Linked DNA regions of Arabidopsis thaliana. The protein of the gene in region 3 interacts with the protein of the main gene of each other region in a pairwise test. Each region holds a gene or a part of one and is shown on either strand. Other genes may lie near its edges.

Region 1 (7,909 bases), on a different chromosome or scaffold from region 3:
GGCTGCACACTTGGAGGCGGTTAATCGCAGAAACGCAGATTTCAATCACATTTTTCGATTGATGGTCTTTTCCCGAGGACAAAATCTAAGTAACGCTGCAGCTGGTATGGTGCCGTACCTGTTTTTGTCTTGCTCACTTGGCTTTTCCACATATTTATTTTGGCTGCTTTATTCTTCTGGTTTGCCATGGGCCCTCTCTCTTGCAGCTGGTGTCTCAACTTCAGCTTATACAACAAAGAGTAACACTGTATGTTCTTATCATATCACCTTTACTCCTGAGTTTATGTTGTTTGCTCCTTAAATTTGTATTTAACATGTTTCTCTGTTTTCCAGATTCCAAGCACCGGCGCTGAAGAAATCAAGTCTGATCTTGCAGCAGCAGACATGGTCGCATTTTTTGGCGATTTCAACTATAGACTGTTTGGTATAACCTATGATGAAGCAAGGGACTTCATTTCACAGCGATCCTTCGATTGGCTCAGAGAAAGAGACCAACTTAGAGCAGAGATGAAGGTTGGAAAAGTCTTCCAAGGAATGCGCGAGGCATTAATCACTTTCCCTCCCACTTACAAATTTGAAAGGAATCGCTCAGGCCTTGGAGGTAAAAGTGGATTTGATACATAAGATATGAATTTGAAAAAATTGAAGCAGTTTTGCTCTGCTCTGTTCTCTGCATTTTTTCCTCTGTTTTGTAAGAGATGGTGGCTCCAAAAAAACTGAATCTTTCTGTGCTGTGTACTCTCCAGGATATGATTCAGGGGAGAAAAAGCGAATTCCTGCGTGGTGTGACCGAGTTATATATAGAGACACTCAATCTAGCCCATTCTCTGAGAGCAATTTGCAATGCCCTGTAGTTTCATCAGTCATAATGTATGGTTTCATGACGACCTTTCTGATGTTTCTCGCTTTTTCCGGTCTCTTCAATGTGTTTTCTCCATTCTAACTTCCCACCTGCGTGTTTCAACAGGTATGAAGCTTGCATGGATGTTACTGAGAGCGATCACAAACCCGTGCGCTGCAAATTTCATGCGACAATAGCTCATGTTGATAAATCTGTGCGGAGACAGGAACTGGGGAAAATAATAAGGTCTAATGAGAAGATTTTATCCATATTCGAAGATTTAAGATTTGTTCCAGAAACTTCTGTGAGCACCAACAACATTGTTCTTCAGAGTCAGGACACAGTCATCCTAACAATCACAAACAATTCACCCACGAGCCAAGCCATATTTAACATTCTGTGCGGTGGCCAGGCTGTAGTTAAGGATGACGGAGAAGATGCTGACTACAATCCACGAGGCTCCTTTGGTCTACCACGCTGGCTCGAGGTATTAAATTCTCTTTTGACGCCAAATGAAGATTCTTGTAGTATTCAAGATTTAGTGATATACAAGAATTTTTTTCTTTTAGGTTTCTCCCGCAGCAGGGATAATAAATCCAGAAGGATCCGTAGACGTTAAAGTTCATCACGAAGATTTTTACTCAATGGAGGAATATGTTGATGGCATCCCACAGAATTGGTGGTGCGAAGACACTCGAGATAAAGAAGCAATCCTGATGGTGAACATTCGAGGAAGCTGCTCAACAACATTGAGAAGCCACTCTGTCAAAGTCCGTCACTGCTTCTCAGCCAGAGTATGTCTCCTTGAGAACAGACCCACGAACCTAACAAAGAACTTAGGTGGTTCACGTCGTTACCCAACAGATATTACCCGTAATGGAAGCACTAGACCAAGAACTGAAGACTCGGTTAGACGAGGTAAAAGCCGGTGATGAGCTCTTGTGACTTTGACAGTTTTAACTAGATCTTAGAGCAGAAGAACAACAAAGTCATCACAAGACAAATGCATCAGGTGAAGAATCGCTTTTATTCATTCGTTGATTCTTTAGAAAATTCATTTTGTGTCAGAAATTGTAGATTTGCTTTGAGACTGTTCCTCAGGTAGCATGTATTCAACTTTTGTATCTCCTCACTTGAATCTAAACTACAGGTACGTGACCCATGTATACATTTGTTACTCTTACACTAAATTGCCTGTTCTGGAGATTTTAGTCTCAGAGTGCATACATTCTCTTGTTGAATTCGCCGTTGAGAATCTCTGACTCTGAAGGCATATGAGATAGTGAGAAAGATTTCGATTTGCTTCTCTCTTTCCTTAAGCTTTTCAGTTTAGATTCCTCGATCCTATGCATGACCACACAGTAACACATTGCACCTATCGTGGTTAGCATAATCGTCCCGCCAATAATCGTTGCACAAATCGCCAGCCAAATGTCCTCCTTACCCACAACGATAAACGAAAGAGAAACAAAGGCTACGGATATGAACAAACAAGCCAACCACATGAGCTTGTTGATCACAAACACAAGATTCTTCTTTGCCTTCTGCTCAATCACCACAACTGAAGTCTGCACCACAACAACAGCCAAAGATATGAACAGCGCCAAGCTGTCAAATATGAAGAAGACTAAAAACGGGGCTTTGCCGGCTATGCGGGCTTCTCCTAATAACAACAGTCCCTTTGTTCTGTCTTCTTCATATTGCCCAGGAATGGTGAAGATTGCTGCAAATGCAACTGTTGCAATTAGGACAGCCACAACGGTTGCAGAGTTTATAGCGTTGTTTAAACCATTGATGTGAAGCTTCTTCAGTCTCTTTGCGATTCTCCGCACCCTAACACCCGTTTGGCGAGACTGTTGGAGCTGAGACTGTACCTCGTGTTTAATGTCACTGACCGTTTGGTTAAGTTGCTTAGCCGGGTTTCGAGGCTTCCCAAGATCTTTAGCTGTTGCAGCTCCTGCTTCCTTCAGAACCGACACAAGCTCTGGATTTCCAATCTTTTCGGCTATATCAAGTGCAGTATCTCCAGCCTTATTCATAGCATTAAGGTTAATTCCATCAAATGATACCAAACATCTCACTATCTGCAAGCAAAGGCAAAATGCAGTTCATCAGAATTCTTGTAGATTGAGAAACTGAGGGGAGGGGGAATTAGCGATGATGATACCTTAATACGGCCTTTGTTTGTGGCAGTGTGCAACGGCGTATTCCCTTTACTATCCTCAACACTCAAAATCGCAGGATCAGGTTTCACCAACTCAAGAACAATCCCTTCGTTCTGACCTTTGACAGCCATGTGAAGCGCTGTTTGTCCCTTCTTATCAGTTCTAAACCCGATGCTTGCATCATTACCTATCAAAGACTTAACCACTTCTCTGTGCCCCATTCGCGCTGCAGAATGAAGTGCGGTTTTACCATTGTTCTTAGCTATCTTAGCTAAATGAGAATCCGTCTTTAAAAGAAGATTCACCACATCAGTGTGTCCTTGTGAAGCAGCCGTGTGCAATGCAGTTGTACACGATAGATCCACCGTCATAGCCAGATTCGGAAATGTCTCCAACAATTTCTTCAATGCCTCTGCAAAAGACAGCACACATTCAAAGATATATGTCAAGAAGGTGTACAACAATAACAAGGTCTTCAAGTTATTATCAGATTCTCTAAAGTTTCATTTACCAATATGGCCTTGTTTTGCAGCGACATGGAAAGGATCAAAACCGTTGCGAGCTTTAACTGATGCAGTATCAAGATCCATATGTTTCAACATCTCTTCAACAACTAATGAATGCCCATTTTCTGCTGCACTATAAAGAGGGGTCTCTCCTTCTAGATTCTGCTTTGATGACAACTCCTTCAACTCTTCAATGCCGTTACAAGCTCGAATCAATTCCATAACCTTTCCCAAATTCCCCGTTCGAGCTGCGAGATGAAGAGGAGAATCTCCTCTTTTACCAGGTGAGTCAGTCTTCTTCTTCCTCTCACCACCAACATTCATGAAACTTAACTGTCTCTCCATTACTACCCTAAAGCTTTTCTGCTTCTCAACAAACCCACGAAAGCTTCTCTGCCTCTCCATTGCCCTCTCCTGTTTCTCCATTGCTCTTCCTTTGATTCCATGTTTCTCAACAACATTCACAGCTAGGAAACTAACTTGCTTGTCCAAAGCTCTTCCCTTTCTCACCTGATTCTCTGCACCAACGCATCTGAGACTCTGCTGTTCCTCCACAGAGTTACCTCGAACGCTCTCTTGCTTCTCCATAACAGGAACCAGAGAACTCATGGTATGCTTCTCCCTTAGATTACACAAAGATCTTGAATAACAACTTTTTCTCCCAAATCTGAAAGATGCCAACTTTGTTTGAAGAATCCGTGAGCTCTTTTCCAGCAACCCGTGTTTCGTAATAACAGAACCAGCTTGAAAATGGAAAACCCTGACTTCCCTGTGATTTCCAGATTTCTTGTAAAGATTCAAACCGATGTGATGAAAGAAGAGAGAGAAAAAAAAAAAAGGTTGCAGCTGATTTCAGTAGAGTGTAGCTGAAACCCAATAGATTGATTTGTAAATCTCAATGCTTTTTGTGGGCAAATCATGTAAGATTCTCAGGATATAGAGATAGAGAGAGAGACTGTGATGAGTGACTGCATCTTCAGCTGTTTTCTTTATTAATTTCGCTAAACTTCCAAAATCTTTAGTAATATTAGTGATTACTTTTTCTTTTGAGTTTTGAAGCAACAAATTCTTAATTACTATGTCAATTATCTCCAGTTTAAAACTTTATATCCAGTTAAAGCTTCTTTTCTCTAATTTCTTTATATTTTTGTTGTCCAAATCAAAGACCAAAAAGCAAAAGCACAATGTGATGGTGACAACAAGTCAAAGTCTTCCACTTTGTTGGTTACTGAAAATAATATTTTATTAATAAAAAAAAAAAAATTGTATGTTACAGAAATTGGTGATCATATACCTTGTTACAGAAAACTATTTGAAAAATCAGTTTCCTAATAACATTTCACAGTGATATCATCTTAACCCCAAATAAATTCATCGATTTAGACAACTAGTAGGTTGAATAACACCAAGATTTTTCCCAACAGCATTGAAGCACAAGGAAGTAGCAGGAGTTCCTTTGTTGTAAGTAAGCTTTATGTCTTGTAATGTGATTCCCGTGCATGGATTGCTCTTGCTACACACCAGCTTCATTGCTTCCTGCGTCGCCGAAGTTCCTTGTATGTTCTTGTACGTCACTTGGGTTATCTTCACCCCCGAATGCTAATACATACCATAAACATAATAAATCTTTAGTTATTTGACTAAGTTGATAATTTGATATAGCATATTTGATTAGTCTGAAATTGATCAAAAATATGATATGGATATACCTCAGTAGGGCAACCTTGGTTGGACGGACAATAGTTTTGGTCGATTATGATAGGGTTTTGGACGTTCCTCATGATTAGATTTTGAAAGAAGACGTTTCTAACGAATCCGGTACTCGGCCTCGCCCATGACTTTATCCTCACGCCGTTTTGTGATCCGGTGAATACCGAACTCGATACTGTCACGTTCTCTACTCCGTCTTCGTTTAACTGCTTTGCCAAACTCCCGATGCTGCCAGTCATCACATCATCATATGAGTTGTGACCAGAGTGAGTGAAGGCAATATTGCTAGTTTTTTTTTTGTTGGAAATTCATGATTCCTAACAATTAATGATATATTTACATAATTTACTCTAAGGAATTAGACGGTGGTGTATACCTAACCCCGTGACCTGGGCCACAAGCAAGCTTGGAAATTAGGAAGTTGCGGGTCCCCTGACCGATAGCAACACAATCGTCTCCGGTCTGAACGGTGCTTCCGGTTAATGTGACTCCAGTGGAGAACTGAACGGTGAAGCCGTCAGTGTTTGGGCTGTCTCCGGGAGCCACCAGCCTAATGTTACGGACGGCCACATTGGTGCAACCGTTGAGGGTCATATGGCTAACCTGGCTGTTCATCGATTTCACTCCACTTATGATCACGTCTTTTGCGGAGTTGAACGATATTGACTACAGTAATTAATATATAAACGCCATAGATTAATAATAAGATTATAAATATTTCATTTTATTTTGACCAAAGAATCCATTTCCTTGTCCAAAAATCATTATCATAATAGTTATTATATGCTTATAAAATAAATTCCTAAAAATGGCATGGATAGATCATATTGAAAATTAAATGTGCCTGAATTAATATAGTTGAAAACTATCAACTAATTCCTTTTTTTTTTTAATCGTAAGTAAATGATTGGAATAAAGATATGTTATTTGACTATTAAAAAAAATATATTGACTTATTTAGTTATTACTAATCAATAATGATTAAAGCTATTTGTTGCTCTTTTGCATTCTGGTGGCGCTTATGTATGAATGTCAGATTGTTGTTTTTATTTACAATAACTATAGATAGAGGAGAAGCATATGTACCCTAACACCGGGAGGACAATTCTGGCCAGATTTCCGGCAAGACCAGAACCCACTACCTCGAGCGTCAAAAGTCCCACCGACCAGTGAGAATCTGTTAACCTTGTTGAAGAGAATCCAGGAACCGGAATTGCCAAAGGTCCTATAATCTTCCGGAGCAACGACGGTTCCGGTCACTTGAAATGTGATTTTGCTCTTGCATGGCCCTCCAAACGTTATTACCTTCAACAAAAATGTCCCCGTGGGGACCACCACCGTGGCTGATGCTGCCGAGCCACAAGCCCCTTGCCATGCCTTTAGGAATGCTGCTGTGGAATCGGTGACTCCGTCTGGTTTGGCCCCGAAGCTCACGACGTTGAAAACAATGGAGGCGCTGCTCGAGACATCGATGAAGGTGAGAAGTGTGAAGATAAGTGGAAATGTTATAGCTGATTTTGTCATTTTTTATATGTGAGTTTGAGTTTATGTTTGTGTTTGTGTTTGTGTTTGTGTTTGAATTGATTTGATTTGATGCATGGGTATATATAGGGAGAGAGAGCATAATTATTTTGGTTCGTTATTGGAGTCTATGGTACAATTAAGTACATGTGATATCTATATGATAAGAGGTTGTGAATATTTTATGATTGATAAAAGAGTTTACATTTCCAATCATTAGGTGCACACATGGTTGATATCGTACTTTTAGGAGCAACGGTCGTTGTATGAACGATGACATTTTTGCACATTATCAATTTCCCATATAACATGGGCCATATACGTATGTGTATATGTATTATATTCTTGGTACATGTTGTTTTTATATATTGATGAACAAAATAAATACGTGGAAACCCACTCAGCGATTGATTAGAACATAAACCGTATATAACGTTAATTCTATAGAGAACCAACAATACTAAATGAAGAAAACTATCATTTGTGCATAAATAGAAACTCAGCCATAAACTAAGAGAAAGAAACTCAACCAAAACCCCTATAGAGTGCAGAGTTGATTTTTTTTTTTTTTTTTGTTATCGACACAAAATTTACAAACTCCTGAAAGAACTACCATAAAAATAGGAATTCTTTATAAAAAAAATAGTAGTAACAAAATTAAATGAATAATATCTATCCTAATCTTTAGAGTATTCTTTTTATCAATAAAGTATTACTTTTCTCCAAGAAGGTAAAATGATCATGGAACAAAATCCTTAAAAACTTTAATTTTATCAAAATTTCAACAAAGAGAAGAACAATATAATCCATTAAAAGAACAATTTGTCATCTGCCATTTCCTTGCAGCTATATGCAAAACTTATGTTTTGGAAGTATTAGGAACACTTTCAGAACCAAGATTTTCTGATCGAAGGCCAATATAAACAAACATTAAGTAGTTGAGCAAATCTTACAATCTTTCGATTTGTACATATATGCACATTACGGGTGAATGTTGTTATAGTTAGCCATTTTATACTCTCTTTTTTTTTAACGACCATATACAAAACGGTAATATTGTGAAATTAAATTTAAAATGTAGGTAAAAAGTGATCAAAATATGTATAAATGACGACATCACCTCATTTTTATATGAGATGACATGTGATCAACTTAGCAGTTGACCG
Region 2 (9,529 bases), on a different chromosome or scaffold from region 3:
CAGACCTTAGAGCTTGAAACATAACGTCTACTGCAGGTACCACAGCCTTTGCAACTTTATTCTTTATAGCTTTCTCCATCGTATCCTACAATCATGCCAAATCTGTTAGCATGTATAAAAACGATGTTATCCTATAAACTATACAACTCCCAGTCTCCCAATATATATCTTGTTGGCAGTTGAAAATTGAAATGACTGAAACAATGCATATCAAGTAGAGTTATTGCAACTTTATACTTGGGAAGTGAATTAAAACTTCTGAAGGAAATGATGTTTTGAACAAAACACTATGGTAGATATCTTGAAAACAACAATAAAGAAGGTATCTAGATTCCTTTCTCCTTCAGAAATAAGTATTATTCATAGCAGAAGTCCAACAGCTTGAGACACGGTGACAACAACTCAAAACTGGAAATGTTGGTTACTGAAGAGGGTGATTATAGGAACAGACCCCAGAAAGTTGATTCTGTTTCTTGACCTTGAACACAGGATGCTCAGGACATCTGTCAGTCATCGTTATTTAAATTGCTCTTTTCCTATGCCACACTAGATACCTAGCATAACACAGAACTGGACAAAGAGCCACAATGCTATATTCTACGTCACTCCTTCTAAGATCAGTATATGGTTGAATTCTGGGTTATAAAGCACTTTCATTTCTATGTCAGCTCACCTATCTAGTTTCAGATACCAGTATCAGCAATCTAGCAAGTAACTCTATGGCTAGATGGTGAACCTATACATCAGAGTGCAAGGGTTAACCGTATGTGTCTAGATAACCCTAGCAGTGTTGCAAAAACATAGAATGAATGACATACCAGAAAAACATCGACGGCCTCTAATTCTACCCAAAGCAAGAAAGCAGCCTGCGCCTTGTCCACAGTATTCTTCCGACCCGTAAGGCATTTGAGCGCAATAGCATCGCAAACTTCCTTTGCATACCTTCAAAAGCAGAAACAAACTAATTATTCACATGCAAACGAACACTCCACTCTGCCCATTTCTAAAGCAATAAAAATAAACAACACCATACCTTCCAGCATCTGAATCGGCTGCTCGCAAAAACGCAATCAATGCATCAAGCGCTTTCTCTTGCACCGGCGCATTAGAATCTGCCACCGTCTTCCTAAACAAGTGACCTGCGAATAAAAAATAATAATCAGAAATTCAATCAAAAGTAAAGCAAAATGGAACCCTAGACCAATCACATTCCCACTCAACAATCCAAATTCAAAACAGATCCACACCGATATAAACCACCCTAATCAGATCTGAGCTTCAAAAACAAAAACCCTAACATAATAATAATAAAAAAACGAGGTAGAGAAACTCACCAAAATCGCGAAGACGAGGGTCCTTAGGATCAGTAATCGAATCAAAAACAGAAGCTAAATCGACGTTAGCTTCGTTCCTAACTTTCCAATTCTTATGCCCAAGCCGATCCTCCCAAGGAAGTTTTTTCGCCTCCTTCAATAACTTCTCATCCTCCGTCGACATTACTCCACGAAATTATCTCTCCGACGGTATCGATCTTATCGATCTATACCAAGTTTTTTTTTTCTTCGTACGGTCTCTTGGAAACTTTCTCTCTCTTTTCAAAAAAATTTCTTCGTGTTGTTAGTGCCGGCAAGAGAGAGAGAGAGAAGGACAAAAAAGAAGAGTAGGGTGGAGCGTAATGAGAGAGAGAGAGTGGGGGAATTTTGGTTTCTACGTTTAAATCGGTGGTGTAATTTTTTTGTTAAAAACCCTTCACGCGCGTTTTGATTGGAAATGTTTACACGCGCGATTATTTCAAATCTTAAAACGAGCGTTTTTCTTTTGCTTTCTCCACGTGGAGAGATCGGCATTTTCAAACTATTTTAGGAAATGATTAACAGTACTGAATTTTCCTATTGTTGGTTCTGTAAATATTTTCAAAATATATTTACATTAACAATCTATTAATTTCTAAGAAAATAAAGTAATATTTTGAAATGAATAACTCATTTTTAGTTATAAAAATATTTATTTTAAAAAATCAACAAAATCATGAGTTATTATTACTTACTTATTGGATTATCTTTTCTTCTATAAAATACAAATAAATAGTCATTTTCTATAAAACTAGACACGTAAACCAAAATGGATTTATTAGTTTGATTATGGAAGTTCAAAAACATTGTGTATTTTATGATTTAAAAACTAGTTAAAATTTATTATTTTAATATCCTAAATATTTATGCTAGGATCTGATTTCGCTTTGGATTTTAATATATTTGAAATATCTAATTCAAATTCAGAATACAAATACTCAAATTTCAAACAAACTTTGATTGATAATTAGTACAAGAATATTTAAGCCACACCACACCTTACACCTTTTCCATCTCCATCCTCATGTCTTAGGTGATGTAACTCTCTATCTCCAGATATCTTTTCTTGTCTACTGCTAACACATGAAACAACAACTCAAATTTAAGCCATATTTTTACAATGGTACCAAATTTATAAGAATCATAGATGAAATTACCAAAACAAGAAGTTACGTGGAAAGATTGAATCCAATATTAATATTTTGATTTCTATTATAAAAGCAAATGAAATAATGATTATCAGTCCATTGTTTGTTCCATTTTTAAGTACACTTGTTTGTTTGATTTAGGTGAATAAGATCCGCTAAAGCTGAAAATACAAGAATTGTCCCTAAAGATAGTAAAGTACAGTACGCTTCCAAATAAATAACAATGGGCTTTAGTAGGCCCACGCAATAACGATGTTTTAACTGACCCAACAAGCCCTTGTCCAGTTCTGGCATTATACAATGCGTCGGTCGACACGTGTAATAAGTCATGATCGGCACGTGTGGTCTCCACTTCTCCTCTCTCATTGGTCGTAAACTCGTAACTAGCCGATTCCTTCTCCAAAGTATCTCACATTTCCACTGCACACTCTACTTTCTCTCTCTTCACTCTCTCATAAATCACAACAACAACAAAAAAAAAAAAGTTGTTAGTTAAGACATTGCTTTACAGCTCAATTGCGTCTTCTTCCTCTGTCTTATTCTTCATCTTCATCTTCCTCCTCGCGGATCCATTTTGAGGTTCGTGTAAATTCCCATTCTCTTTCGCCATTTTTTTGGGGGAAGTGAGATTTTGGTCTGAGTTATCGGCGAATCGATTTCGTTTTTTTAGATTATTGAATGGTTTTGTTGACTCTTCAGTTCTTCTTGTGCTGTGATTGCAATGATGTCCTCCGAATTTCGTGATTTAAGTTCGATTTTAGCTATCCGAGCTCCTCTTTAAATAATGAGTTGGGGTTTTATTCTGAAGGTTCGATTTCTGATTTTGCAAATTTGGGAGGTGGATTTGATCCGATTAGATAATCTCACTGTTCTGGGTGCTGTAATTGTTAATGAGACCATGCAAATGTTGTGCATCGATGTTGTGGAACGCTTGATTTGTAATTGAGGATTTGGTTGTCTGATTATTGGAAGATCGAGGCTTGATAGAGTTTCAAATGAGGGTCAGCTGTTATTGTTGTACGGTCTAATGACATTATTTTATTTAACTTCAGGAGTCTCTTTTTGTTTCTTGAAGATAGACTGGGCGTCACGGAGCAGCTGAGTATATGCTACGAGTGTTGCATTCCGGAGGCTGTTCTTTCAGATGATTGGCAGTAGCTATATTATGCTTGAACGGTGCCATAATGGGCATCTGTCTAATGAAGCGCTGCTGCTCATGGTTTCTTTTGATCTCGTTTCTCTCTGCACTAACGAATGAAAATGAAGCAATTAGTCCTGATGGTATACAGCGATATGTGTCTTTAATCTCTTCTATATTTTGTCTTTGACAAGTCATGATCACCATTTACTCCGCCCAGATTGCTGAAGGGATTAAATCCTTTTTTTCTCCAGGTGAGGCGCTTTTGAGTTTTAGAAATGGAGTTTTGGCTTCTGATGGTGTTATTGGTCTGTGGAGACCAGAGGATCCTGATCCATGTAACTGGAAAGGAGTGACCTGTGATGCAAAAACAAAAAGAGTTATAGCCTTGTAAGTTTAAAATTTCTTTAGTTTAAATTCTTTTTTTTTCTTCAGTATGTGGTGCATCTTTTGTCGGTTCCTGAAGTTTCTTGTGTGCAGGAGTCTTACTTATCACAAATTAAGGGGACCTTTACCCCCTGAGCTTGGAAAGCTGGATCAGTTAAGGCTTTTGTATGTGCTCCTAACCTTTTAATTAATATTATTGATGTCTAGCATATGCTCTACTACTCATTGTATGTGTATTCCCATGTCATTGCAGAATGCTTCACAACAATGCGTTATATCAATCAATACCTGCCTCATTGGGAAATTGCACGGCATTAGAGGGAATGTAAGGGCTTTCCCAAATACTTATGCTGATTAGTGTGATTACACTTCATTGCTGATCGAATTCTCGTTTTGTTTTTCCAAATTTTATATTATTTCCTAACAATTACTAGTGTTTTTCTTTATTTGCTTCTATATAGTTGGTGCATAATATTGATGCGTCTTGTGAGTGATGATAAACTCAGTCACAAGTTTAGCTAGTTGACAAGAATCGTTGTGAATCTTTTATAATTTATTGTCCTTTTATTCCTTGCAGATACTTGCAGAATAATTACATCACTGGGACAATCCCAAGTGAAATAGGAAACCTGTCCGGGCTGAAAAACCTGTACGTGGTTTTTTTCCTCGTTCTTCCAAGTGGATTTGTTTTCTTAGCCTCTCTAGGATCTGCTATTTGTTGTTCTGCTATCTACTCTCACCATTTAGTATCCTCTATAATTATATTGTGAACTACAAGAGGTTCTTCTGATCTTCCATGCAGCAACAACATAATGTTTTCGAAAGTACTTATTTCTACAGTCGTGGTGAACCCTAAAAATTATAGGGAGTTTGACATAACTTATATTTAATCACGTATTGTGTTATTTTTTCCGGGTGAAAAACTCTCAAATATGATGATGAGAATTGTAAATCTATGCTAGGCTTCTTTCATATTAAATGGGCATATCATCTACATTCTTCTGAACTACTATGATTTTTGACTCTCATTTATGAAGGGACCTCTCAAACAACAATCTCAATGGAGCTATCCCTGCTTCACTTGGGCAGTTGAAAAGGCTTACTAAATTGTGAGTTGCTAATCTCTAACTTGCGTATTTTATTTTGCAGTCCTGTAGATATATGAGTGTCAATGTTACTAACTATGTTGATCTTCTTTTGAAGCAATGTCTCAAACAATTTCCTGGTGGGAAAAATACCTTCTGACGGCCTACTCGCTAGACTCTCGAGGGACTCGTAAGTATAATTTATATATACCCATTTCCCCAACCAAATTTTTGTAAATTATGGTTGATAAATCTTTCTACGGTTGATCTGGCAAAGCAGTTATAATTTTTTTTGTGACGTTGTGTACGATAGCACCCTGTTACTAGCTTTGCAGCAGTGTAGCTGAAAATAACCAAGTCGTAAACTGTTGAATCACTCTTGCAGCTTCAACGGAAATCGTAACTTGTGTGGAAAACAAATCGATATTGTGTGCAATGACAGTGGAAATTCTACAGCTTCTGGGTCTCCAACAGGTAAAGCAACTGTGTTTTAATCAATTTCTTGTCAGGATATATGGATTATAACTTAATTTTTGAGAAATCTGTAGTATTTGGCGTGAAATGAGTTTGCTTTTTGGTTTCTCCCGTGTTATAGGCCAAGGAGGTAATAACCCTAAAAGGCTGCTTATAAGTGCTTCAGCTACTGTGGGTGGGCTGCTCCTAGTGGCGCTCATGTGTTTCTGGGGATGCTTTCTCTATAAAAAGCTTGGTAGAGTTGAGAGTAAAAGCCTTGTGATAGATGTCGGTGGAGGTGAGCCATGCTGACTCATATTGTAGATATTCTCTCTAAGAGTTATATTTTTCTCTCAAAACTTGACACCATAAGAGACGATTTTTTCTATCCAGGTGCGTCTATAGTGATGTTCCATGGAGATTTGCCCTACGCTTCCAAAGACATTATCAAGAAACTGGAATCTCTTAATGAAGAGCACATAATAGGCTGTGGAGGCTTTGGCACAGTGTACAAGCTGTCTATGGACGATGGCAATGTTTTTGCGCTGAAAAGAATTGTTAAGTTAAATGAAGGTTTTGATCGGTTTTTTGAAAGGGAGCTTGAGATTCTTGGGAGCATCAAACATCGTTACCTTGTGAATCTACGTGGATACTGCAATTCACCCACATCAAAGCTTCTGCTATATGATTACCTTCCTGGTGGTAGCCTTGATGAAGCTCTACATAGTAAACCCTCAACTTCATATTTACGGGTTTCCTTAACGGAGAATTATGATTCTATTAAGTGAAATTTTTGAATGTGTAGAGAGAGGCGAGCAGCTGGATTGGGATTCGCGAGTTAATATCATAATAGGAGCGGCAAAAGGGTTGGCATACTTGCATCATGATTGTTCTCCTAGGATTATACACCGTGATATAAAATCAAGCAACATCTTACTGGATGGAAATCTGGAGGCTCGGGTATCAGACTTTGGGCTTGCCAAGTTGTTAGAGGACGAAGAATCTCATATTACAACCATTGTTGCAGGCACATTCGGTTACTTGGCTCCAGGTACTCAATTACACAGTAATAACAATGCTTATTACTTGTTGTTACTATCTGTTAGGACCTAAATCCGTGAACTCATAATGAGTGTTTTTTGCAGAGTATATGCAAAGCGGTAGAGCGACTGAGAAAACCGATGTTTACAGCTTCGGGGTTTTGGTTCTTGAAGTCTTGAGTGGTAAACTTCCCACGGATGCCTCATTCATCGAGAAAGGCTTTAACATTGTTGGTTGGGTAAGCATAACGAGATCCAGCTTAGATAATAATATTGACTAGTAAAAGCTTAAATTTTGTTTTTTATAATCTTGCAGCTAAACTTCTTAATCAGCGAAAACCGGGCAAAGGAGATTGTTGATCTAAGCTGTGAAGGAGTGGAGAGAGAGAGTCTCGACGCACTTCTATCAATAGCAACAAAGTGTGTGTCGTCAAGTCCAGATGAGCGGCCAACAATGCACAGAGTCGTCCAGTTACTTGAATCCGAAGTTATGACTCCTTGCCCCAGCGACTTCTACGACTCCAGCTCCGATTGATCTCACGTTCACAAAGTCTGTCTGCCTTCTCTTTTCAGAGTTCCTTTTCAGTTTTACAGTACAAAGTTCTCGAGCCATTCATAGTCGGTACCTTTTTTTTTTTTTTTTTTTACTTTGAATTGGTAGATTGGTGACACGCCTCAATTGATCTGATCATGAGATTAAAATGTATATGACCATCCATTGTAGAAACACTGTTCCTAAGAATCTGAATAATTTCTCTATCATAATACTTTCTTGTTTGCTTTCTTAAGTTTTATTATACATGTTGTGTACTTCGGAACTAGTTGAAACCAATCATATAATATCGATGAGAAGATCAATATAGAAAGAAGGTAATTATTTTTACTAGCAAGGATAATTTTTAAGCTTTGATTCTGATTTTACATCTCCATAACAAACAAATGATTATCATGGACAATATAAAATAAGCTCGATACGACGCCGTCAAATCACAAATTCGCAGAGCAATCCATGTGTTGAAACGACACCGTCCTCGTCTCCAAGTCATACCCAACTAGGAAATCCATCTGAGCAAAGTTCCCATAGATGGCAACCTCGGTGGTCGGAACCATACTCAAGCAAACCATGTCTTCACTCAGTTTCACGAATGCGTTGATCGGACTCAGCCTCACATCTGCACCCGTGAAATGCACCGTTATCTCCGGCAAACCGATCTCTGCACTTCCGGATTTGAAACAGTGAGACAAAAGCCCTTGTGGATCACTCACGCGCTTGGCTCCGGTCACTGATTCCTCCACCGCCGAGCTAAATTTGTCAAAGAAACCAGCTTCGAGGAGGGTCAGTGTCGTTCCAGAGTCGATGATGATGTTTCCAGATGTCTCCGAGAGTATTCCGTCGTCGTTTGGGTTATACGAGCTTCCGGTGTAAGGAATCTTTTTCTTCCCGACGGAGATGGCTTCAAGCGTCAAGTAGTAGTAAGTAAGAGGCTCTTTATCGACCAACGGAGTTGATACCACGCCGGAGTCTTTGCTTAGACTTGAAGGAATCGAGTTAGTGCCTAGGTTTATGACGCTTGTGCCATTCGTGGTAGCTGACTTGTGAGACAAGCAATAAGAAAATTTCTTCGAAATCGACGAACCGAGCTGGGAGATTAGTGATAAATGACCACCACCTAGACCGATAATCCCAGAACCAGTCTCGTCGAAGGTACCACCGTTATTGTAGCCACAACCGAAGACAGTACCAGGAAAAGAAACAGGGGACCCTGAAGCAGAGTCAATAGAGACAGTTTCCGTGGCAACGTCTCCTTTGCTGAACGACTGATCACCGTAAGAGTAACGGTACTTGCATATATTGTTGGATTCATCGCATCCCCGTTCCGTACTGGACAAGGCCTGGCAGTTACGTGAGTCACAAGGCTCGCTCTTATAAGTAGAGGATTTCTTCTTGTCGAAGATTGGACCGTTTTCTTTGTAACATTGTTGACAAGGCTTACATTGGACCCAAGTTAGGTCACTTCCTGTGTCAGCGATCGCAAAAACCTTTATTGGTGGAGTACCGATGGTGATACTCATGAAAAACTCGCCGTCTGCTCCGATTAAACCGGATTGGAGATCGGTTTGGGATAGTTGGTGGTTGAAGCGGCGGGAACGAGAGACTGAGCGGAGGAAAGCAGCGTTGAGGCGATCAGTGACGGTGATTTGTGGGTTGTAGATTGGGGAAAGGGGAGAGTCACGGTGGATCAGCTCAACACTGAAGTTTTTTGGGTGACCCGATGAAGAGAGAGTCACCGAGAAGAAGAGGAAGAAACAGAGAAGAATTTGGGTTGCCATTGTTGATTAGTTTTAGAAAGTTTGTGGTGGAAAGAGTGAAGTGGAGAAGAGGTTTTTATACACAACAAAATTGGGGAAGTGAAGAGATTTGAAACGGTAAGGAGTTATAGCTACGTGAGTGGGGAGGTGAAAGTCTGAAATGCAATTCATTAGCTATCTTTTAATTTCACACTAAGGCTGCTAATTTAATTTGAGGCTAGTGGGGTTGAGGGGAAATTAATATCAACGTTTTCAAAATTGGGACTTGGAAGATTAGACATTTATCATCTTAAGAGCATATCTTGTGTGAGTATATGTTATACACCACACTATAATACCAGATATAATCATTTTGGTTTTGTGTTTCCTAATTTTACAATAGGCAGAGGAACTCATGTTATGTCATATAGGACCAGGATTTGCCATGTTGCTCGATAACTTCAAAAGTTCAAAGTTTAAATCATTTGTTGTGGTAATCATGTAACACTGAGAGTACTTTTGGCCGTGAGGAAAACATGTGATTAAGTTGAGGGAAAATAATTCAAATTCAGTTGGCACGGAGAAAAGGGAAATGTGATATGCTTATATTAGTAATGCAATGGCTTGGTCACATGGT
Region 3 (7,186 bases):
CATACACCTCACCATTCCATTTCTTAGCGGCCAAACTTTCTCCAAGGCTCACTGTAGCCTCCACCACACCTTCCGCACTATCATGCGCCGCTGAGTCCACGATCCCGAGAGCCACCGCTTCTTCTCCTTTGAGCTTCTTCCCGCTCAGTAACAGCTCCCTTCTCGCGATACCTGACCCAACCTTAGCCACGACCAACGCCGAGAAGTAGTCCGGCACCGGTAGCCCGATGTCCACCTCGCTCATATATAGAACCCCACGGTCTTTCCTCATGAAAACGTAGTCGTGGCTCAGCGCAAACATCAGCCCCGAGGCTGCCGCGTGGCCGTTCAAGGCGGCGATCGTCGGCATTGGAAGATCGAGGAGGGCGGCTAACACCGGTTTAAAGGATTTGACCATTTGGTGCATCCGTTTTATAGCACCGTGTCCAGCGGATTGAGCCCACGCGAGGTCAAAGCCATTGGAGAAGAACTTTCCGTGACCGGTAGTGATGAGGACGGATCCTTTTGTGGATTGAGACTTTGCTTGTTCAAGAAGCGAGAGAACAGAGGCGATCGTGTCGGGGTGGAATCTGTGCTCGTCTTCGCCGGTTAGGGTTAGGAGAAAGAGATCGCCGCGCTTCTCTAACGTACACATGGTGCGTACGTTAAGGACTTACTGATTTAGGATGGTACAAGAATAAGGAAAGAGTTAGTAGAAAACTGTGATATAGAAGTGAGTGTTGAGTAATTAATAGAAGGGAACCCAACTGTATATTTATTAGACGTGCTTTGCCACCGAAGTCTTTAAATTGGGTAATCTTCCCAACCATTTTGGTGTCAATGTTATTAAATGCAGACGAGACAAATGTGTATGAATGAATGTGTGACTTTCTTGCTGAAAATGATAATTGTAACTGTTTGTCCTTGGACGTAATTACCATTTTGTTCTTTCGCAGCTATTGGCTAAATCAATTTTGGTTTCCTTGTCTCCACTTGATTAATATTAACAACCTTTTTTTAGTGCTTACACACTTACAACTGTTCGTATGATTTTTTAGATATCTTGTCATGGCTTTTGAATCTATGAACTTTATTTTTGAAGCATGATTGATTGAGATCTCTGCTTTAGCATTACTCATGGACACATTCCATAAGAGACCGACATGAGTAGTTAAATTAGTTCACTAACTCTTTAAGTTGTGCAAACAACATTAGTTAGGTTAATATTAGTCCGCCAACTCTTTAATTTATTAAATACACAAGCTACATAGAAAAGAACAGTGTCTTTAGATCCATACTTGACCAGCCGGTCTAACCGATAAAACTGTTAACTAGACATATAACAATCATTATTTTACAAGATCCTATAATTCAAATACATATTCAAATATTTATTTAATATGCAAAGATTTTTATTTTATACCGAATAAATACTAAGATTTATCTTGTTTATTGACTTTTATTTTTAAAAAATTTTATACCGTATTTATGTCCGATCAGAGCCGTCCATGAACGCAATAGGACCAAATTTATGCTTGCGGCCTCAATTACTACAAATAAAATATTGACCTAATTTTTTTATAACTTTCAGTAAAAACGTTGATTATTTGATTCTTAGATACCTATGGTCGTCAAAAGTTTGAGTCCATCTACCTTCATTTACCTTGTTATTTTTTCATTTTCACTCATTAAAATAGGTCTAAATTTTGTTCTTTGCTTGCAATCTATTAAATACTAGAGACGGCTCTGTGTTCGATTAATGACACCACGATGGGACTTATAATACAAATCAGTATACTCATATATTACAAGATCATGTTAACTTTCTTACTATTTATATTTTGGTTAGCAACATGCAATATGCGGGTTTGAATAAGGCCATAAGGGTGATGACACACTGACAACACTAACACAAACCATTGGATTACATTTTTTTGTTCGTGTAGAAGTTAATCAGGCGGCTAGTTGACTTGACTTGGCCTGAAAAATGCAAAAACCTCACATATTTAAGCACATCGTGACATGGTCCGATTTTTGCTTTCTTTTGTTTTGTGGCTTAGATTGTAAAGCTCTGTCCGCACTAGACTCAACTTACATATTCATATTCATATTCACCTCTGGTCCATATATATTATAAAAGTCCAATAGAACATGTTCACGAGAATCTGTATAGGTAAACCTCATCCACCATTTAACATTTCATGAACATGTTTGACTTCCATTAACAAGATCGATGTCTTTGTAATTTAATATTAAAAAGAACTTTAACATAAAAACAAGCATGGAAAATTCAAAAAGAATTGGTCAAAGAGTATTGCCAAAACAAAAATGTAAAGAAACGGGAAAAGGGAAGATAAAGCAGCTAATTTTCTTTCTCCAACTCTGACCAATGACCATATCCAAGCGTGTATGTAATGTACCTAGTCAACATGTTACAAGTCGTGGCCCTCCTCACCTTATTATATATGTCATCTACATAAACATCAGACATCACACACCAACATCATTATTATGTTCTTTGATACAAAAGTACTCAATTATCCTACAATTCACAAATCTATCTCCATGGCGTCCACGATGCAAAGAACAAGCAGCTCCGCGGCCAGTAACGAGAGGCAACTTAGCCAGCTACAGAGACGAGCTCCGTCTTTAATGATCAAACCAACGTCTTTTAGTAACTGGAACGTGGCGATCCCTCTCCTTTCACCGCTCGCTCCTTCTCTAACATCATCCTTCGACCAATCACATGTTCCTCCGCCGCAGAACAAGACTGAGATACCAGTGGAAGAAGAGGTGAAGAAGACACCAGTTTTCAAGAAATGGCAACATCCCGCGTCGCCGTTCTGCTACGAGCCAACAACGTTTGTCCCACCGTTCATCCAGGTTTAGAACGGTTCATCAAAATTTTGTAGATTTGATGACTCAGCTACCAGCCCCGTGTGAATTTTGTTCCTGTGATATTACACGCGGTTAACTATTTTTCACGTTTTTGTATCAGTTTTATCCTCTAAGAGATAATATTATTCACTAACAAAGTATTAATTCAAGTTCTAAATGGGTAAAAAAAAATGCATAAAACACATGAAACAAAATTATGGGAAAAACATGGAGAAAATAGTTGCATGAATTCTTTAAATAAATTGTCAAATTAACCCATCATACATCTAGGGTTGGACTTTTCTTTAAAGTTCATTTCTTCAAAGTGTTCACTTTTAACAAATAAAAAAACTAACTTCATGGATTCAATATGGGCCGAACTAAAGCCCAGTAAGCCCAATTCAATTTAATTCTATTTTCTTCTTCTTCTTCTAGGGACTTGTAGTACAGTAAGAACTTTCGTACGTTTCTCGCAAACAAAACACGAAAACTTACGCTTCTGGAATTGAATCCAAATCGAGAATTTCCTTTACAATGCTCTAAATTCGTCTGTTATGTTGAATCCTTCGTAAGAGAGTAGAATCGAAGACGAATCAAATGAACTTTCGAAGGTTTGATCTATTGATCTCTTCCTCTGCATTCGAATCCTGTTTTTATGTAGATTCATCAATGTTTAACAAATGATATTGATTCTGCTCTCGATCGAATTTGATCTAGATCTCTTCACAATCTCCAGATTCACTCTTTCTGAAATCTTAGTTTTTTGAATCACCGACATTCGAATTCCTGATTCTGAGTCATTGACCTAATTCTAGAGTTCTAATTACAGTTTTCCAGATTTTGAATTGAGTGTATCCAACTAGAATTGGAGAAAATTGGATCTGATTAAGAACCAATGGTTTTGATTTCTGTAGGGAGAATCGTGCTTCGAGAACGTCTCTCTTTGATGGCCTTGATGGACTTGAAGAAGGTCGCTTGAGAGCTTCTTCTTCGTATGCTCATGACGAACGTGATAATGATGAAGCTTTGGAAAATCTTCAGGACAGAGTTTCGTTTCTCAAGAGAGTATGTTTCTTTCATCTATATAACTAAAGAATCAAAATATCAACACAAGCATAAACATTAGGATTAAGAATTGTGATTCTTTATTGTGAAATGGATGGTGCTACTGATCCTTATTGTTTGAGAAAGAACAGTCCCTTAAGCACTGCTAAGTCGAGACCCTAAATGTATCTTTCGAGCATCGAACGATGATCTAATGCTTTCGAAAAGTCTAGATATAAAGAAATTGAACTTAGTTTTTAGTTCCTAGATATGTATTGAAATTGTAGATTAAGAACATTCTCTCCAGCATTGCTATCACTAGACCCTGTATAAGTCTTTCGGACTCAACGACAAGGATCGAGCTATGATGTAATGCCTTAGAAAAGTCTAGTTATGAAAACAATGCCTTTTTTGTTTTCACTCTTGTCAAATCTAGTTTGCAATAACGCTTGCCTGAGATGTAAGTTGGTAATAATATCTTATCAGGTGACTGGAGACATACATGAAGAAGTTGAGAATCATAACCGCTTGCTTGACAAAGTGGTAAGCTGAAAGTTTGATTTCATCTGTTTCAGTTTGTAGATCTCTATCACATGCTTTTCTTCTAAGCTATTTGTTGTTGTATCTCTAGGGGAACAAAATGGACTCCGCGAGGGGGATAATGTCGGGAACGATCAACCGCTTCAAGTTGGTATGTAAATAAGATTTCGTACCTTTTATATATGCATCACCCCTTTTGTTTTTCGCTATCAAAACTTATATCTGAATAAAACTCGATTTTAACACGACAGGTCTTTGAGAAGAAGTCTAATCGAAAAAGTTGCAAACTCATAGCTTATTTTGTGCTCCTGTTCTTGATCATGTATTACCTTATTAGGTAAAATACACTTCTTCTTATAGTTATCAAAACACTTGACTTTTCTTAGGGACTGGTTCAAGTCCTTGTTCTTTGACTCGAACACTGACAATCTTTCGGATTTTGCAGGCTATTAAACTACATCAAAGGGTAAATTTGGATACAAGAAGAAAGTAGAGTGTTAAATGAATAGTTTCGTTTGGGACTTCCATTTTTGGATTTCTCCTGATGAATGAATGATTCAGACATAGTAAACAAGTCAAGGGACCCTATTGAAACCCTATTGAAACCCTATTGAAACAAGACAAAGAAAGAGATTGTGAAGAGACTAGTGAACCAACCGAAAGAAAAAATGTTTGATAGAGACTTGTTTGTCACAAGCAAAATCATCTCATGTCATTTCATGTAATGTAGCAAAAGCTTCTTTATCATTTGTCAACTATTTGATCTTGGGTTCATGTTAGCAGTTTTGTCTACAAAAAGCTTAATTGATTGATTGATAAGCTTAATTATTAGCTTTCTGTGAAAAAAAGTTTAGCACTTTGTAATAAAAACAAGATAACTTGGCGTCTTGTTTCCAAAAATTTCCAATTTTCAGAATTTTAAGGCGCAAATACCGTCCTGTATATTGACATTTTGCTAAAGATCCAAATACGTAACAACATGAGAAATATCATTTTTGAACGACTCGCAACAATTCCACAAGTTGACAGGACACTACTATGCAGAAGAGTTTGATTTTTTTTCCACTTTAGGTAACAAGTTGACAATAATCGACAAGTTCATTTTTGGTTTGGTAATAGACAACAAGTTGACATGTACATTTCCAAATGGTTCGGTTTCTAGGTCAAATCATCTTAACAATTATGTAAACTATAGTCTTAAATGTTGAATTTACGAGTGAATAACAGGTTGCTATGCTAAATAGTAAATTTCTTGAAACTACTGTTTAGATAAATAGTCAAATAACCATGAGTTTTAATATAGCTACTAGAGGATAACATTTGAGTTCTGGCACAATATATAGAAAAAAAGTAAAAAAAAAAAAATGTTACCTTATTAAATCGGGAGTAGTTTTTCAATTTCTTCTGATCTTTTAGTATATGCTAAAATACCATGTTAGTAAATATGAATGTGATTTTTGTAAAATAAATATATTATAACACAACAACAGATGTTATGCTACATATATTAAACAGGGTGCTAGATTATAAACAAAAGTGTTTTGGATTCACATGAAAAATATGTGTAATTATTTGAAGAAGTTAGATATATAGATCATTCAAAAAATAGTAAGCTACATGGTTATCTAATATACTGTTGGTAGTGAATCCATCAACCTAATCGTGACATATATACAATGTACAATCGAAATCGTTTCTAAGAAAGCCGACGAAATACTCAGCCTTTAGAAAGACTAGTATACGACATGTCCTACCACCCTAATTACTAAGAGAAAAAGATTCATGATGCTGCGGGAAATGACTTGCTTTCTTCAATTAACTCTTCATTCGAGCTTTGGTTGCTCTAGCTCACAAATTATCGTCGTAGTTAATTGAATATTTACAAGGAGCTGACTAAAAAATTAAATGTACATGCACATACATTGGAGCACGCCCACCATGGCTATGCTAAGCATGCTCTCTTAGCAGAAGTGACACCTCTCAGAAGCTATTGGGCCATAACAGAGTTATGACACGGGTCATATCCGTCAAAAGCACATTGCTTCTAGAATGCGAGGTATGATTGCTAAAAACACGATCGACAAGGAACTCAAGAACATCAACTTGCATATTGAACCTACATACATGCCGTATATAGGCATGTGCGAGGAGTATTAAGGATATAGGACTGGTTAACTTCGGTTATCACTGGTTTGGTTGAATGTGGTTTACTAACCACAATAATCTTATGTATATAAGTTTAATCTCGATTACTTTGTTAGTTAAGTTGGTTGTAACAACACTTTAAGCTGAATAAGAAAAGTTGTTATCTTCTTCTTCGTCTCTCTTCTCCGATCTTGAATCTCCGATGTATCGGATTTTATCATGGTATCAGAGCACAATATATTGATTCCGCGTTTGTTGTGTTCATCGGGAGAGAGTTTCATTTTCGATTTCTTCTTTTGATTCTTTCGTTCGCTTATGCCATTCGTTATTTTTCCGATTCACCGGAGTATTTTTCATTCTGTTTCTTTTACTTCCTTCAATTGACCTTTAGCGTGAGCGAATCTCGTTTTCTATACATCAAATTCGTCTCGCTTTCTTTGTAATTTTTCATTCTTACTCTGAGAATGGGATCTTATGTACCTCCACCTGCGAATCCGGTGACTCGTCCTCCGATCAACAATGGTGATCAAATTCGATATCCAGTAGATCAATATGAGAATCCGTACTATCTTCATAGTGCAGATCACGCTGGATTGATTCT

What was found. Proteins that work in one complex are often made in the same cells at the same time.
Region 1: the proteins of ATBET12 (region 3) and AT1G05640 interact in a protein complementation assay, tested with the Arabidopsis thaliana proteins (one large-scale study listed by BioGRID).
Region 2: the proteins of ATBET12 (region 3) and FEI2 interact in a protein complementation assay, tested with the Arabidopsis thaliana proteins (one large-scale study listed by BioGRID).

The regions. Positions count from the first base shown.
Region 1 is NC_003070.9:1,685,381-1,693,289, forward strand, and holds AT1G05640 (Ankyrin repeat family protein), read right to left. Parts: upstream 4,576-7,909; 5' UTR 4,122-4,575; coding exon 3,518-4,121; intron 3,419-3,517; coding exon 3,009-3,418; intron 2,926-3,008; coding exon 2,056-2,925; downstream 1-2,055. Other genes in the region: 5PTASE13 (Endonuclease/exonuclease/phosphatase family protein), read left to right, coding at 1-247, 334-601, 747-870, 968-1,328, 1,411-1,773; AT1G05650 (Pectin lyase-like superfamily protein), read right to left, coding at 4,884-5,111, 5,222-5,450, 5,599-5,888, 6,309-6,746.
Region 2 is NC_003071.7:14,958,796-14,968,324, reverse strand, and holds FEI2 (Leucine-rich repeat protein kinase family protein), read left to right. Parts: upstream 1-2,886; 5' UTR 2,887-3,079; exon of another isoform or gene 3,080-3,308; intron 3,309-3,552; 5' UTR 3,553-3,684; coding exon 3,685-3,781; intron 3,782-3,892; coding exon 3,893-4,028; intron 4,029-4,118; coding exon 4,119-4,190; intron 4,191-4,278; coding exon 4,279-4,350; intron 4,351-4,602; coding exon 4,603-4,674; intron 4,675-5,062; coding exon 5,063-5,134; intron 5,135-5,228; coding exon 5,229-5,300; intron 5,301-5,495; coding exon 5,496-5,584; intron 5,585-5,705; coding exon 5,706-5,861; intron 5,862-5,956; coding exon 5,957-6,289; intron 6,290-6,368; coding exon 6,369-6,614; intron 6,615-6,708; coding exon 6,709-6,842; intron 6,843-6,919; coding exon 6,920-7,138; 3' UTR 7,139-7,474; downstream 7,475-9,529. Other genes in the region: MOR1 (ARM repeat superfamily protein), read right to left, coding at 6-85, 819-942, 1,034-1,139, 1,335-1,497; AT2G35615 (Eukaryotic aspartyl protease family protein), read right to left, coding at 7,591-8,934. UniProt on the Arabidopsis thaliana protein: Involved in the signaling pathway that regulates cell wall function, including cellulose biosynthesis, likely via an 1-aminocyclopropane-1-carboxylic acid (ACC)-mediated signal (a precursor of ethylene).
Region 3 is NC_003075.7:8,307,029-8,314,214, forward strand, and holds ATBET12 (Target SNARE coiled-coil domain protein), read left to right. Parts: upstream 1-3,290; 5' UTR 3,291-3,453; coding exon 3,454-3,467; intron 3,468-3,770; coding exon 3,771-3,921; intron 3,922-4,386; coding exon 4,387-4,443; intron 4,444-4,531; coding exon 4,532-4,591; intron 4,592-4,691; coding exon 4,692-4,777; intron 4,778-4,885; coding exon 4,886-4,910; 3' UTR 4,911-5,356; downstream 5,357-7,186. Other genes in the region: HCD1 (3-hydroxyacyl-CoA dehydratase 1), read right to left, coding at 1-634; AT4G14450 (uncharacterized protein), read left to right, coding at 2,491-2,868. UniProt on the Arabidopsis thaliana protein: Required for vesicular transport from the ER to the Golgi complex. Functions as a SNARE associated with ER-derived vesicles.